2 linked regions of the Astyanax mexicanus genome follow. The protein of the gene in region 2 binds, or shares a complex with, the protein of the main gene of each other region. Links are inferred from orthologs where the notes say so. Each region holds a gene or a part of one and is shown on either strand. Other genes may lie near its edges.

What was found. The genes of interacting proteins can lie anywhere in the genome.
Region 1: the proteins of sympk (region 2) and ssu72 are in contact, whole or in part, in a crystal structure (PDB 4H3K), measured with the Homo sapiens proteins. The link is inferred for Astyanax mexicanus from reciprocal best matches to the Homo sapiens genes SYMPK and SSU72. Residues at the interface, in NP_004810.2 of Homo sapiens: Val123, Lys127, Leu131, Gln135, Asp175, Asn176, Asp177, Gly178, Thr181, His182, Lys185, Glu188, Pro204, Arg205, Arg206, Gln207, Ser250, Ile251, Thr254, Thr255, Asn262, Ala290, Ser292, Gln293, Ser295, Ser296, Lys299, Asn300, Leu303, His304; in NP_054907.1 of Homo sapiens: Glu113, Tyr116, Asp117, Val120, Asn124, Glu127, Gln128, Glu129, Thr130, Cys131, Gln132, Pro133, His135, Asp167, Glu169, Asn170, Asp173, Gln177, Glu180, Thr186, Phe187, Leu188, His189, Thr190, Val191, Phe193.

Annotation. Positions count from the first base shown.
Region 1 is NC_064431.1:31,532,648-31,540,381, forward strand, and holds the start of ssu72 (RNA polymerase II subunit A C-terminal domain phosphatase SSU72), read right to left. Parts: upstream 3,376-7,734; 5' UTR 3,222-3,375; coding exon 3,142-3,221; intron 1,425-3,141; coding exon 1,281-1,424; intron 1-1,280. UniProt on the Homo sapiens protein: Protein phosphatase that catalyzes the dephosphorylation of the C-terminal domain of RNA polymerase II. Plays a role in RNA processing and termination. Plays a role in pre-mRNA polyadenylation via its interaction with SYMPK.
Region 2 is NC_064408.1:29,756,965-29,764,761, reverse strand, and holds the start of sympk (symplekin), read right to left. Parts: upstream 3,136-7,797; 5' UTR 2,979-3,135; intron 2,059-2,978; 5' UTR 2,051-2,058; coding exon 1,976-2,050; intron 1,520-1,975; coding exon 1,454-1,519; intron 1,363-1,453; coding exon 1,309-1,362; intron 1,215-1,308; coding exon 1,141-1,214; intron 776-1,140; coding exon 649-775; intron 514-648; coding exon 264-513; intron 27-263; coding exon 1-26. Other genes in the region: hnrnpul1l (heterogeneous nuclear ribonucleoprotein U-like protein 1), read right to left, coding at 7,212-7,340, 7,595-7,797. UniProt on the Homo sapiens protein: Scaffold protein that functions as a component of a multimolecular complex involved in histone mRNA 3'-end processing. Specific component of the tight junction (TJ) plaque, but might not be an exclusively junctional component. May have a house-keeping rule.

The DNA.
Region 1 (7,734 bases), on a different chromosome or scaffold from region 2:
ATTTTTACTTTACTACATAATTTGAACAGACAAACTGCCCCTTTCATGTGCCAAAATTTCCTGATGAATGGTCCAAAAGAATTACTTAAAAATGACCTGATAAACACTTTTTACATTGACTTCCATTAAAAGTTTAGAAGTTTTTTTTCCTTTCTCTCCCCTGTAAAGTTGTTGTTTTTGGGGGTACTTGTTTTTCATTGGACAGCGACAAAATACAGGCCTGTGTATTAAAACTACACTGATGCAACATTTTCACAAATGTAGACTTTAAATATGGGCTGTACAGATTAACTCTTATTACCGGTAATTTATTCATTTCCAAAGTACATAGAGCACTTAGACAGCAACAAATACTATGGGTGTAAAGTAAATCAAAGTTTAAAAAGTAAATATATTTTTACGCCAATTTACATGTGCAGATCTTTTTACAAGAAGTTTGGTTTTACTCAATGACGTCACAAACAAGCCTATTTCTTTCTTACTCCTTACAGAATAACAAAACAACGTCCTAGACTTCAGATTTCAACATATTAATAAATGTAAATGCTGATATATAATACAAATTACATAAATGTACAATGCTCAGTTTAGATCCAGAAGCCGTAATTTTGAGACTTATATTACACTACTTGGGAAGTAGTGTATAATCTGGGATTAAATCCCTTTATCATTTTAAGACCTTTAAAGCACTGACATGCTTATGAAAGCATTTTTTTTTTCAAAATGTATTTTGGAAAAATGTATTTAAAAATAGCTTCCTGAGATTTTATGCACGCTCCCATCCTTAACAAACTGTGGAGCACAAATGTCTTGAAATTTTACAATTAGACTACTTTAAATTCGTTGTAATAAGCTAAAATGTCGCATATTAGAACTGCACTAATGCACGTATTCCTCTGACCACCGACATAATGGAGTGCACCAAGAACCAATTAACTTCCCCTGTGAGATACAAAGATGTGTTTACCAGCTGAAGGTTTGAAACGCCATTATTTTTACAATACTAAAGCTTTCAGACCAGCACTCTTACAAAAAAATGCTATTTTCCTCCAGAATTAGGAAAAAAAGCCATTATTCTGGATACAGAAGCAAATACTTGTATAAAAAAGGTTTATACACCCATTTGCACTCTTGCAAAAAAAAAAAAAACTTTCCAAGAAAAAAGCTGCTGTAATTCTGGTGTAGCAACAATGTGAGTGAATATGTGAGTGTGTAAAAAGGGGAGACGTAGAGGTGTGTGTGTGTGTGTGTGTATGAAAATGTCTGTGAGCTCGGGATACAAGTCCTTGTCTTTTCGGACCAGATCGCTGTACATCTGTTCGTAAGTGGTTTTGAAGTCGTACACGTTGGGCTTGTCCGGAGCCGGGCCGGGGAGCTTGACGTGAGTGCCCGTCCCGAACGACCGCACGTCAAAACCACGTTTGCTGCAGAAACACAGAGAGATGGTGAACAGCTGAACAAAAACACACATTAACACACTCAGCACAACAAACACACACCTGCAGGGAATACATATCCCTCACTCTACTCTATTTACAAGTTATCTAGCACTTATCTAGCACACTGTGTGTATGAGAAATCAAGCAGTCGAGAGAAAGTGAATGTGTGCTGGAGTAAAGTTAAAGTGTGCACTAAAATAAACAAGAGAAGAAATGTATGTGTTTGGGCTAGCAGCCTCCCGAGGAAGTGAGCTAGTGAGCTCATGGGGAAGTGAGCACCTGAGATCCAGAGCAAGGGAACTAGTGAGCTAGCGTGTGGTTTTAATCTAACACCCCCTCACCCCAGCTTCCGGTTAATAAGCAAGTGAACCAGTGAGATCCTGAACAAAGTGAACTAGTGAGGAAGTGAGCTCCTGAGATCCAGAGCAAGTGTACTAGTGAGCTAGTGTGTGTGTTCTTAGTCTAACGCCCCCTCGTCCCAGCTTTCGGTTGATAAGCAAGTGAGCCAGTGAGCTCCTGAGATCCAATACAAGTGAACTAGTGTGTGTTTTTAGTCTAACTCCTCTTGTCTCAGCTTCCGATTGATAAGCAAGTGAGCTCCTGACGTAGTGAATGTGAGCTCCTAAGTAAACAAGTGAGCTCCTGAAACAGTGAATGTGAGCTCCTAAGTGAACAAGTGAGCTCCTGAAACAGTGAATGTGAGCTCCTAAGTGAACAAGTGAGCTTCCAAAGAAGTGAATGTGAGCTAAGTGAACAAGGGAGCTCCTGAGCTAATGAGCGCCAGATGAAGAGAGCACCTGAAACACTGATCTCCTGAGATCCAGAGCAAGTGAACTAGTTAACTTAGTGTGTGTGTGTGTTTTCAGCCTAACGGTCCCTCGCCACAGCTTCCGGTTGATAAGCACGTAAGCCAGTGACCTCCTGTGCTAGTGAACTAGTGAGCTTCTGAAATACAGAGCAAGTGAGTGTGTTTTTAGTCTAACTCCCACTCAACCCCAGCTTCCAGTTGATAAGCAAGTGAGCTCCTGCAGTAGTAAATGTGAGTAATCAAAGTGAACCAGTGAACCAGATCCTGAGCAAAGTCGACTAGTCAGCTCCTGGGATCCACAGCAAGTGTACTAGTGAGCTATTGAAAGTGTTTTTTGTCTAACGCCCCCTTATCCCAGCTTCCGGTTGATAAGCAAGTGAGCCAATGAGCTCCTGTGAACTAGTGCGGTCCAGACCTAGGTAAGAAGTGATATCCAGAGCTAGTGAGGTAGTGGACAAGTGATATCCAGAGCTAGTGTGCTAGTGAACAAATGATATCCAGCCCTAGTGAAGAAGTGCGTGTGTGTTTAGTCTAACTCCCCTCCCCCCAGCTTCCGGTTGATGGTTTAAAGCCTCTAACCCAAATCCTCGCACTCTTCCGACTGTAGAACACAGATAACTGACTAAATGACGATTAAAACGAAGTTAATTCGGATCAGAATTCGGATTTGCTCCGTTCGGACGGGTTAGTTGTTAGGAGGCGGCTGTGTGTGAAGGAGCCGGGCGGATAAACCTCTCTCTGAGAGGGTGGTGTGTTTGTGCTCCTCAGGGCTCTGGAGGAGCAGGAGCTTTAGGAGAAGCTGTGGAGGAGCTGAAGGAGATTTAGAAGGAGTTGTAGGGTGAGGTTGTCGGCGGCTCGCTGTAGTTTTCTCGGTAGGTTCCTCTCCGTTGTTACCTGAGGATGTTGTGAGCCTCCATGCTGCGGTTCTGGTTGCTCGAGCAAACGACCGCCACGCGCAGCGGCTGGCTCGGCATCGCTGTGAGTTAAAGTTCACAGTTCAGAAGAAGAATATTAAAGTTAAATATGAGGAGAGGAGAAGATCAGCGCGGCGGTTTTAGGAGAGGAAGACTGAGCCGGACCTGCTGTACAGAGAGAACTAGCTAAAATGGCGGAGGGAGACGAGGGGGCGCTGACGTATTGCAGCGGACGGGGCGGAGCCACCGGGTGTGACGCCACCTCCACAGTCCCAGTACTGCGCCTGCGCGCAGGGCCTGTGTCACGTCGATTTGTGCTACCCGTCCATATGTGCTAATTTTTCTGCTGCTGCGCAAGCGCTGACCCATGTGTTTATCACGATAAATATCTAGAACAGTTTTCCTTGAGTATGTGATGTAATTAACATTTTCTGTTTAAAATTGGCCTTAAAATATCCTTTTTTCCCTCACGAATGTTAACTACAAATTTACACGTATATCTTTTGTTATTATAACAATACTTTGAATTAACCATTACAATATATTGTAAACCTTTATATTCTACCCTTTGATTTTAATTCACTTCTCCAAACTAAGTAGAATCAGTACAAAAAAGTTCTTCTGTCACTGTTTTATTGTGATGAGGATCTATCGTATATCGATTAGCCTTTCTCAATTAATGTATTATTGTTTTTATTTGTAATTTTGTTATCTTTCATATGTCTAATTCTGTGATTTTCTTGTTTCACGAGCATATTGGATCCATGAATAATTAAGTCTGTACGTACCAATAACTTGGATATTGTTATCTGTCTGACGTTATTTGTATACTTGTTTGTTAAATAAAAAAGGTTTTCATTGAGTACTTTTTACAATCTTTTTACAGCAGTGTAGTTTGCAAATTGGGATAAAAAAATTATAGACTTAAAATCCTACCTAGCTTCACTTCAAACTTCTGCCGGGAGAATGTTCTTATATGATTTTTTTTTTTTTTTTTTACCATCAAATAAATAATACACTAGATTAACACGGTTTGACATACTAGCACATTTTGTCAGCGTACCGTCTGCTTTTTCTATTAACTCTATTGACTTATATTTATATATAAGGCAAATAAATTTTCACATCATTGTATCTCAACGATCACAAACACACACAAAACATGGTGTAAACTCATTATTACTTTATTATTTGACACAGCAGGTTTTGTATAAGAGAGGGAAAAAGCACAGTATTGAAATTTCTTCACCAGTCTGCACATCCTCTGACAGTGAACAACAATGAGGAACTCTCTAACAGCTATAAGGCATTTAATCTTATTGGGTCCACCACAGGGATGGCATCTGAGAACACAAACGCTTTACAGTGAAGTCCTACACAAATAAAACAGCATTGCTTTGTTTGAGGAGAAAGCTAAGAAGTGTCCCACATTCCTCTTCCAAATATTCACACTTCTGTAAAGTCACACTTTATGTAAAAATGCTATTGCTGCTAATAATCAATGAAAGCTGGTAGGCCTGGATAGAATTAGCATGTATAAACACAATGCAACTCCTTACAAATGCAAATACTGATAATTTTACCTTCTACTCACTAATGTATGTAGGATTATCAATGAGTAACAGACAAATTAATTAATGATTTCACTTATTATTCCCTAATTTAAGAATACTAATGATTCAATAACTACTACACAAGTTAGGTAGCACATTCCAGCGTTCATCCAGTGTTAGCATTAACAACATTTTTACATCTTTATTCAAGTGATAATTTAGCCAGAAATCTAACTCTTAACTCATTTCCCACCTTATCATATATTTACTCAATCAGAAAAGACAATAGAAAGCTTATTTAACGTTAGTTTAATACTGGAGCTATCAGGCTAATATAGCGTAGCTAACAAGCTACCAGTTAGCATGGTGCTAACTGCACACTTTCCCTTAAACCAGTTATTAATCTATAACATATTTCCTCATGTGTTTTCTGATATTATTTAACTCTTTATTATCTATTAAGGTCATTTTGAGATAACAATATAGATTGCGTACAACACATATTAATTGTTAGCTATATTAGCCCATTAGCCTTGTTGTTATCTTCAAACATGCTAGTTAAATTGTAAATGGATTAAAATAAGCTCACACAATTGTCCACAGCTAAAAATGTGTAAAACTAATCAATTAAACATTTTAAAGTATCATGGTGAATTTTCTTATCGTCTCAGCAATATACTTTTTTTATTTTTATACTTAGTCATTTTATTACAAAGAGCATAATAAGTCCAGTTTAGTCAATTTTGAATAAAAGTCGGTACTTAGTATAAGATAGCATTTTAAAGAATCACAAGTATTGCAATAAATATTGTGTATTGTGAAAGTTAATCTAATTCCTTAACAGGCTATCATTTTGTCAGTTTTATTCCTGATATTACACGACTAAATGTTGAGGATTTCTATTCACGAATAACATGAAAAGATGAAAAGATACTGAAAATCCTAATTGTAACTATAATAAAAAAATAATTTAAAATATTGCAGTAAATATATGCAAAAAATCATAAAATTAATGCTTTCTCAAGCTTAATTTCAAAATAATTTTAAAAGTAATATTTAAAAAAATACAAATCAAACAGTTCCTGTCCCTTTCATTTAATTATGGGCGTCTAGTTTTCATGTCTATTTTAAACATGCAGAGTTCAGGTTGATTCACCAACTGTTCTGTTTTCAGAATGTAAAAAAATATATTTTACTGCAATGAAAATGGGTTTTGTATCATATTCACTTTTAGCCTGTATACGGGCCAAATTTTGAAATACAGATTTTTTTTTTGTTTTAACATATCAGCACTAATTTAGAGTATAAGTGGGAAAATTGGGACATTTAATTTTTGGCTTCACTATCACTTTAAAACCCAACACTAAAACAGTCATGAGATGATCATCCATTGCTTTCTGTTACATTTTTATTACAGTTTATTTTCACCCTACAGTTATTCGAGACCTTCTGTATAACAGCATGTTTCTACAGCTATGTGAGTAAACCTATTTTTCCTAAGGGTGTGCGCACAGTTCAATGGTAAACATACGTTAATATTATTTGCAGGAAATGGACACAGGTGAGTCCAGGGTCACAGGCAGCGGGCACAACAGCTTATTGGTGAGAGTTTATAGCTATAGGAAAAGGTTAAAACGTTAAAGCTGGAGTCTGATCTCCGTCTGTACCTGATCTGTGTGTTTATACACTCTGAGGTTAGAGGCGGAGTTTGACCTTTGTGTTCAGGAGTGCAAAAAATGTTTCGTATTTATTTATGTATTTTATAACCAATGATTTAAGGACCAATTATTGTGATTACTTTTGAAATTATTTTTTGAGTACTAGACAAATAATAAAAAATATATAAACAGAAGGCAAATAATGTTGTATAATATAGTTGTATGGAAATATCAGGTTGTTTGCCGTTTTTAAAGCAGTAAGAAAATTTCAAATGAATGATGATTAATTAGTCAATTAGAGTTAAATCAATGTCACCACAACCTAAACCAAAAAATATGATTCTTGAAAATAAAGGGGTGTGAAAATCTGGTGTTCTTATTTTTTTTTCCTTTAAATATTATTATTTTTTTTACATTTTAGGTATTAAAATGTCCCTTTAGAACAGTTAACAAAAAATGTAATAAAAAAAAAATAATTTAGTGGGTTCAGTGCACATTAAAGCATGAGGGTACTTTAAATAATATTATTATCTGCAAACATTTTCACACACACACATACATACACACACTCACACACTTTAACAAGTGATTTGTCCAACAACCAATCAAACAAAATATATTTTGAATGTGTATTTCTCTACTGGGTACTGCAATGACCAATGAAGCAGAACAGCCTCTGATTGGCTGTATTCTTTTTTCAGGGGGTTCTGGGGTAAAAAATAGGCTCTAAGCGTGCCAATCTTCTATATTCCTGTATACTGGCAGATCAACTCCCATTTTTTATTAGTAAGTAATGATCTTTTGAACATTTTAAGTTGGTAAATATTTCTGCATCGATACTTCTGCTTGCTTTATGTTTGCCTGTGCGAGCGCCCTATGCAGCTTCAGCTATCGCTCTGCAGTTCAAACAGAGAAGGTGGGAAATTGTGGGTGGGACCAATCACAGCTGCTGCTGTCTGCGTTGTGCAACGTGTAGTTACATCGTGTAGTTACGATTATGGCGTAGCTTCGACGCAGAAGTATAAACTGGTCTTTTCTTCCCGATTGGACGCCAGAGCAGCAACTAATAAAGCGGATAAGATTGGCCTCTGATTGGCTGCTTTCTGAGCCCCACCTCCACACTTTGTTATCGCCCTAATAAACATTTTTTTTAAATGTGCGCATATTGAGGGCGGATTTTAACAATGTAATTTCAGCTCTGGACAGAAGGGTGTGCTCAAAACTCCTTCTAAGACTGTTAGAATCTGATTTAAACAGTATATAAATTCTGAACTGAATGTGTTAATTTGTGTTTTTGGTTTTCAGGAGAATAAATACAATAAATTAGATTAGATTAGGTTAGATTATTTTGGATAAAAAGAA
Region 2 (7,797 bases):
AGACTTCCCCTCTTCACAAAGAACATCTAAAGTGAGAGGGATTAAATACGAAACAAAACAAGAAACAAAAAAAAATTATTAAACCTGGATTTATGGACATGAAAGCTGCCAAATGATGGGAGAAAAATAAACACAAAAACTGTTTGCCATATATAGTTTGAAACTAGATTTTGTACTTTGGTTAAATAATTTATTGTGTAAAAGCATAAAATAATATTTTTAAAAATCTCATTAAACACAACTTTGTCATAGATTTGACCCACCATAGCGAATGTACGAGTGATCTTTTGGAATTTTGTCAAGGCTGATGTCCCCCTCTTGCTTCTTGGGTACATCTGAGTCTGGTTTCCGTGGTGATAGGGCGATTATGAGGGATTCAGTAAATTTGATGGCATGGGTGCGAACGCCGTCATTGTCTGAATCTAGCAGAGCCAGAACCTCTTCCTTCATCTGGGTCACCATATTCCAGCATGCCTCTTGCATTTCAGATACACTCTTTGACTGCACCAACCACTGGCAGAAAGACAAACCAAAACAGTCAGATATCAGTAAGAGAAATGCTGCAAAAGGCTTTGGCTCTAAATGTCAGTCATTACAAGGTACTGAATGACAACATAAAAAAGTAAAGCAGTAAAGCAGGAAAAATACCTGTAGAGACACTTTGTAAAGATGAGTGAGTGTGAGGATGGCCTTCTTCACAACATTCACACTCTCATCCTTCAGCAGCATGTTCAGATTCGCAATCAGCTTCAGCAACAGCTCATTATCCCGTTTACTGAAACAGCACAAGTAAACGACATTACCTGGTTCTCGGCTATTAACACCAAAGAGTTTCTTTGTTATGTAAATTAAACAGCATCGCTTTATACACACATGTCACATGAAGCACTAACTCAAAGCTCAAAAATCTCTATGTGTACGATAAAGTAGACTGAGTAAAGTAAACTTACACACATACATTATTAATACTACACTATACAACACATATATATTGACACACCTTTTCATACATTGTTACTGTATATAGTAGAGCAGTTGTATATTTGGCACTGCCAACCAACATGACCAAATAATGCAGATGAGTATTAAGAAATGCAATAAGAACATCACGTAAACAAACAAAACAAAAATAGAACTCACCACGCCTCCTCGATGAAGCCAATAACAAATTTCCGCACTTCAATTGACTTGTCTGTCTGAAACGCAATCATCTCCTGCAGATGAAATGAGAGAGATGACATTTTAGTTTATGCCTTAAGGATTTCTTTTTAGAAGCTTTTATAGAACACTAAAAGTGATTTTACTTACATCCAGGAAATTATCAAGTAATGATGGATCTTTGTTAATAATCAACTCCTGCACCTAATAATCAAAACAAATATTTACAGTAAGCATGCAATTCAAACATCTGATTGTGTAAAAATGGCACACAATGCTATAGAAATATGTTTACCTGCTTAAGTGCAGTAAGTTTATCATCAGTGGACATAAAAGCAGCCTGGTTCAAAAGGTCCACTACCTATGATGCACAGTCAGTTGTGAGGAACAGTTAAAACATTTCATTGTGATGCACATTCAAAAGCTATATATATATATATATATATATATATATATATATATATATATATATATATATATATATACATATATATGATTTTTTTTTTATTTCTGACAAGCCACAGTCTCGCTCAGTGTGATATTTCCTCTGCTCTAGCAACCATTCTAAAACTGGTCACAGCCTTATATTGTGTGACTGAGTAGGTAATTCTTTAAACCTTTAGAATCCTCCTGGACTGCAAGAGCCATGCATGATGTAGTCTAAGCCACTGCTGACCAACAGTTTTGTAAGTAAGCACTCCCTAAGTTGAATTAGGAGTATTAGAACCAGAAACGTAAGACACTGTGAAGCGTTATGGACTACAGAACTTGAACTGCATAAGTGATCGGCCAAGCCACAAAGGATCCCTTATATTACCTTTTCACTGGTGGTCATATCGATGGCTGCTTCCTCCGATCCAGTAAAGTGCCTTTCTCCAGAGCCTGACGCCATTCTGTCTGCTAAACAACAGCAAAATTTCAAAAAATAATCAGACTTCCATGCAATTCCATTATTTCTTTCTGCTGGGGAATAACACATTGAACCTTGTGATCAGGGTAATTTTATGAAAAGGAAGTTAATGTTATTCGGCGATGACTAGTTTTGATCATCATGGCCAATAGTTTTTGAAAAAATGTTTTGTAACAATTAGAAGGGGCCCCATTTGAAAGAGATACTAAAAAGGCAATTGATTGATTTGCCTGTCCTGTTGCAATGGACCTGTCTATATACGATTTTTAGGCATGTCCATTTATCTTTATTTTAAATTTAAAAATCCCTGGCTGGGGTTGGGGGAGTCACAGTGCCACAAATGTTGAAGAAGCACTGATCGACTCCACTTTACTACAAATTAAACAAAACACACTTGAGATTTATTTTACTGTGGGTTTGGATTCTGTGTGAGACCTGCAGTCTACATTTACAACTACTAACTAACTACGAGCTTTTTTCGTTACAGAGCTACACTACCAACTGGGCTTTTACTCTGATAACACTCAGGTCCACACTACATAAACACAAGTCACTTTCTCCATTCACTGTATGAGGAGCTAGTTAGCTAACCTAGCTAGCTTAGCAAGTAGCTAAAGTTCTGTGTGAGACTTTTTTTTCCACATAAAGAATTTAATTGTAGAAGGAACCCTGTTCCTTTACTGTTCACATGACCGTAAACTCTCTTTGAATATTGAGTCTTGACTGTTGGGAGAATTCTAATCAGCTAGTTGACTAGCTAAAGCTAGCTTAGCTAAGCTAACATAGTTACCGTTAGCTACAGCCTGGCCTCTGAGCCGGTTGTGTATTATAGTGTTTTAATAGTAAATGAGAAGCACCAGACCGGCCCGCGGGGTTAGTTAAAGAGCAGAGTCTCGTTACAGTAACTCACAGCAGTGTTATCTCTCTCCTGTTCACTCAGACCGGCTGTAAACTCCACATCTCCATCACTCCATTCACTCCACAGGCGCCATGTCGGAGCTGAACGGAAGTGTCGGTTGTTGGAGACTCTCACAACACACATACACTTCCGTCTAAACTTCACAGCCCATTTATTATTATAAAAATAATAATAAATCAGCCTGATATTGCGGATCCTGATATTTCTCTTCAGACATTAAATATAAGGGTTTCATGTTTATTTTGAATTAAATCTGCAGCTGTCAAAGTATAATTAATAAAAATCATGAAACTGAACTAAACCTCATTTTAAAATTCAAACTTTCCTGAACCAAAATAAAACATTCCATGTCCTCCAAACATTTCGTTACGGTTATCTAGTTTTTATGTCTATTTTCAAAAATGGAAAATTTGGGAATTCCTACGGAGCCCCTAAGGTGACATCCTGTTAAAAAAAAAAATAGTGGCCACAACTTATTAAGGCGAGGGAACAAGATAAATAAGTCAGAGCCAGAGAATAATAAAGTTTGCTTTTCTGTAAATTAATGCCCATGAAAAAATATTACATCAAAGCTCCAATTCAAAGACAATCTTTTGTAAGAAAATTGAGTGTACTGGTTTCTTTTTATTTTCATCTTGGAATGAATTATGATAAGATTTTGGAGTCTCCTGGAGTGAAACATGGAACAATTCTAAGTAAAAGACAATTAATTGTCATACTAAACGCTGATGGGTTCAGACGCAAACAGACCCGTTAACCTTTCTTAGGCAGTCATATAGTGCACAAGAGCTGCTTGCTTCTGTGAAACAAGAGGACCTTGTGGACACGCCTTAATTATCTAATTTCCACGTCTTAATAAGTTGTGGCCACGGCTTAGGATCTCATTCCCACAGTTTAATAAGTCATAGTCACACATTATTATATATTTTGTCACCTTAGGGGCTCCATAGATTCCTTTTACTAATTTGGAGTTATCTATTTATTGTAGTAGAGAGTGGAAAGGCTGCTTCTCCATGGTCCTCAAAAACCCTGAAAGTTTTCAGAATGTAAAGAACTTATTTTACTGCAGAGAAAGAGTTTCGTACAGAACCTCCAAGGTGACATCATAACAAAAAATGCGTGGGAATGAGATCCCAAGGCGTGGCCAAGCTTATTAAGGAGTGGGAGTGAGTTCTTTCATCGTGGCCACAACTTAAGGTGAGGGAATGAGATAATTAAGGCTTGGGAACGAGATAAACAAGGCATGGGAATGTGATCCTAAGACATGGCCACAACTTATTAAGGCGTGGGAATGAGATGATTAAGGCATGGCCACGACATATTAGGGCGTGGGAACAAGTTAATTAAATCGTAGACATTGAGGTGTGGTCATAAGCTTTTTTGTTTCACAGCAAACAAAGCAAGCAGCTCTCAAGGGTTGTGCACAACATTACATTACATTACATTTGGCAGACGCTTTTGTCCAAAGCGACTTACAATAGTGAAGTACAAAAAGTAATAGATGTTAATGGTAAAAGCATCTTTAGATAGGGCCTAAAGGAGGTCAAAGAGAAATAGTAGGATAGAGGAGTGAAGGAGGGGAAGAAGGGAGTGAGGTTAGAAGAAGTTAGTTTGTTAGAGGTGTTAGGAGAGTAAGTGCTCTTTGAAGATCTCTGTCTTCAGGAGTTTCTTAAAAATAGCGAGAGATTCTCCTGATCTGGTAGTGGAAGGAAGATCTGGAACATGACTGCATAATGAAGGTAAACGGGTCTGTATACTGTCTGCGTCTGAGCCCGTTAGCTTTAAGTCTGAAAATTAAGAGTCTTTTACTTAGATTAAGTCTTGTCTCACTGCAGGAGACTCCAAAATATCGCCATCATTAATTTCAAGATGAAAATAAAAAAGAAACCTATTAACTCTCCATTTTCTTACAAATTTTCCTTGTTTTGGAGCTTATATGTAATAAATCTTTTTCATGGGTTTTAATTTACAGAAAAGCAAGCTTTATTATTCTCTGGCTACAACTTAATTATCTTGTTCCAATGCATTTTTAAGCCATGCCTTAGGATTTCATTCCCACACCTTAAATCATGGCCATGCATTATTTTTTTTTAACATGATGTCACCTTAGGGGCTTTGTATGTTTGTTTCATCTACACTTGTAGCCAGTATATGGGCATTATATTCCTTTAATTTGATGTTTTTACAATTACAAACAATTACAAAAGCCATGTCCACTAAAACACCTAGCATATATCCAGCATATATCCAAAATTGAAATTTAGCAAATGTTTTAAAATGGAAGATTTCACTCTTTTTATTCAGAATTATTTAAATAGTTTATATAGTAGCTACACAAATGGAGAATGATATTTTTCACTGGACAATTTTCTGTATTCTACTGCAATACACACATTTTACATATGGGTACAGAAATCAAATTTTTCCGAAATAATTATTTTTTTTCCAATGGCAAGCACATTTGTTCACTTAAGATGCACGACAGGGTAAACAGTTTTGGCAAAAATTGGCATTTAATGAAAACACGAATGACCTAGGTTTGCATACATTTGGAAACTGTTCATGGTGACCTTGGTCCATTACCTGGATATTTTAGAAGGACAGGGTGGACAGCTAAAGCTTTACCTCAGCTAATTATACACACAATATGATACATAGAAAACAGGGAACTCTGCAGACATTGCAAAAATCTGCGCACTAAAGAACATTTTCGCATTAAAGAAAACCGCTTGAAATAAAAAAAAAGTACTTTAAACTAAAGCTTAACATTCCTCTATATTTGTAATAACGTGTTCTTTCAGAGTAAATCTTGAAAAATATATTGTTATAGCCTATAAATCTGAAACAGTTATGCTGAAGACACAAAGGTTTTATTATATTGATTTTGACCATGTGTATTTACACTATTTATTAATATACTTGTGCACAAATTCTTTTATCATTTTACACTCATCCATTAATCTATTTTCACAGGCAGGTCAGATAACCACTATAAACAGAAATGCACTTTTGCAATCGTTTGCCGTAAAAGTACACATTTCTGATACAAACCATTTAGAACGAAAATTTTTTAACACAATTTCAGTTCATTTTTTAAGAGATTTGGTTAAATTAGCTAACATTAATTACTTTAGGTTTAATAATAGCCGTAGGTACTGTCCAAGATGGGATATTTTAGCAATATCCTATTCATTTTTTTCACCTTTACATGCTGTTACTGGACACGTTTTGTACCGATAAAATCTATAGTGCTCATCAAAAATATATCAGTAGTTTAAATAATTACTATTGGTTGCACATATGGATGTAGTAACTTCAGTCACTTAAATGTTTGGTCTGACTGAAAGCTGCTTTCAAGAACAAATGATCTACAATCACTTTGAATAAAAGAAAACTACAAAACAACAAATCAAGTCATTTCCTTAGATTATATTCTCCAATACAAAAAAGTGAGTTTTGATCTGACACAAAACCACATGCAAATATTGTTTTACAAACATGGTACAAGGTATAAAAACTTTTACAACCACACAAGGAGCAACTAATGCTCACTAAACATGAGAAGACATGAAGCCAGCCAGTTGAGACATTAAGAATGGTATATAAAAGGATTTGACAAACTCCACAGGTACATGATTTCAATTAAAGCGTTAGAAAGAATTATGCTGTTAAAATGTTCACTTAGTATTTATCTACACAAGATTGCTTTCTTAAACCAATGAGGGAAAATATGGTTCTTAAAAGATGAATAAAAAGAGCAGAGAAACAAGTTTCTACATACAAAACTGTCAAAACTGATCAGATGTAAAATCCTGCGCCCCCACTACACGTAATCAACCACAAAGCGTTCAAGCACATTTGTGCGTGCAGTATCTGGAACAAACTACATCACATGTCGCTACTCATATAAATTTGCCTGCTTGCCGTTTATAAATATCTGAACTAAACTCTGAGTTAACATAACACTTCAAGAGCAAAACTGGCTACTGCCACCAGAACTAAAATGCATTAATGGAGCGCAAGGAAATGCAGTTACATTTAAGGCTGAGCAAATAGGGTAAAAAGTAACAGAAGCAAACAAAAAACATACAAAGCTTTTAAAGGGGAGTGGCGTAAGGGAGAAGGAAGACTATGTGAGGGTAAGATAAGACGGAGACTATAAAAAGATAGGCAGAGGAATGATGTTGACGGAATGAGCTTGGAGGGTCACGGTCGATGCAGGTACTACTGCTGTGTGCCCTGGGAGCCTTGCGTGTTCTGCTGGTTGCCATAGCTGCCGTAGTTTCCGTACTGGTTGTAGTACTGGTTCCACTGGCTCTGGCTCTGGTAATATTGCTGCCATTGCTGAGCATACTGCAAACACAACAATGAAAAAAAAGATCAATCAAGATCACAGGTCAAACAAACACTATTATCAAAACTATTTCTAAATAAGTACTAGATACGTTTCCTGACACTATGTTTGAGAGACCCCAAGATGATATTTATTTAAGGTACCACAAAGAACTATGATGCTACTGTCCAGTTATTTTTTTAAAGGTGTGTCACTGCAGGTTTCATCACACCATATCCTTTCCCCAAACATCTGTAGTGCTGAAGTAGCTTACCTGCTGATACTGCTGGTTGTAGCTCTGCTGCTGCTGCTGCTGTTGTTGTTGTTGTTGTTGTTGTTGTTGTTGTTGTTGTTGCTGCTGTTGCTGCTGCTGCTGCTGCTGCTGGTTGTATGACTGGCTCGTGGTAGCAGGTGGCTGGCTGTAGCCCTGGCTGTATCCTGGGTATTGGCTATAGTTTCCGTAGTTGTAACCTTGGC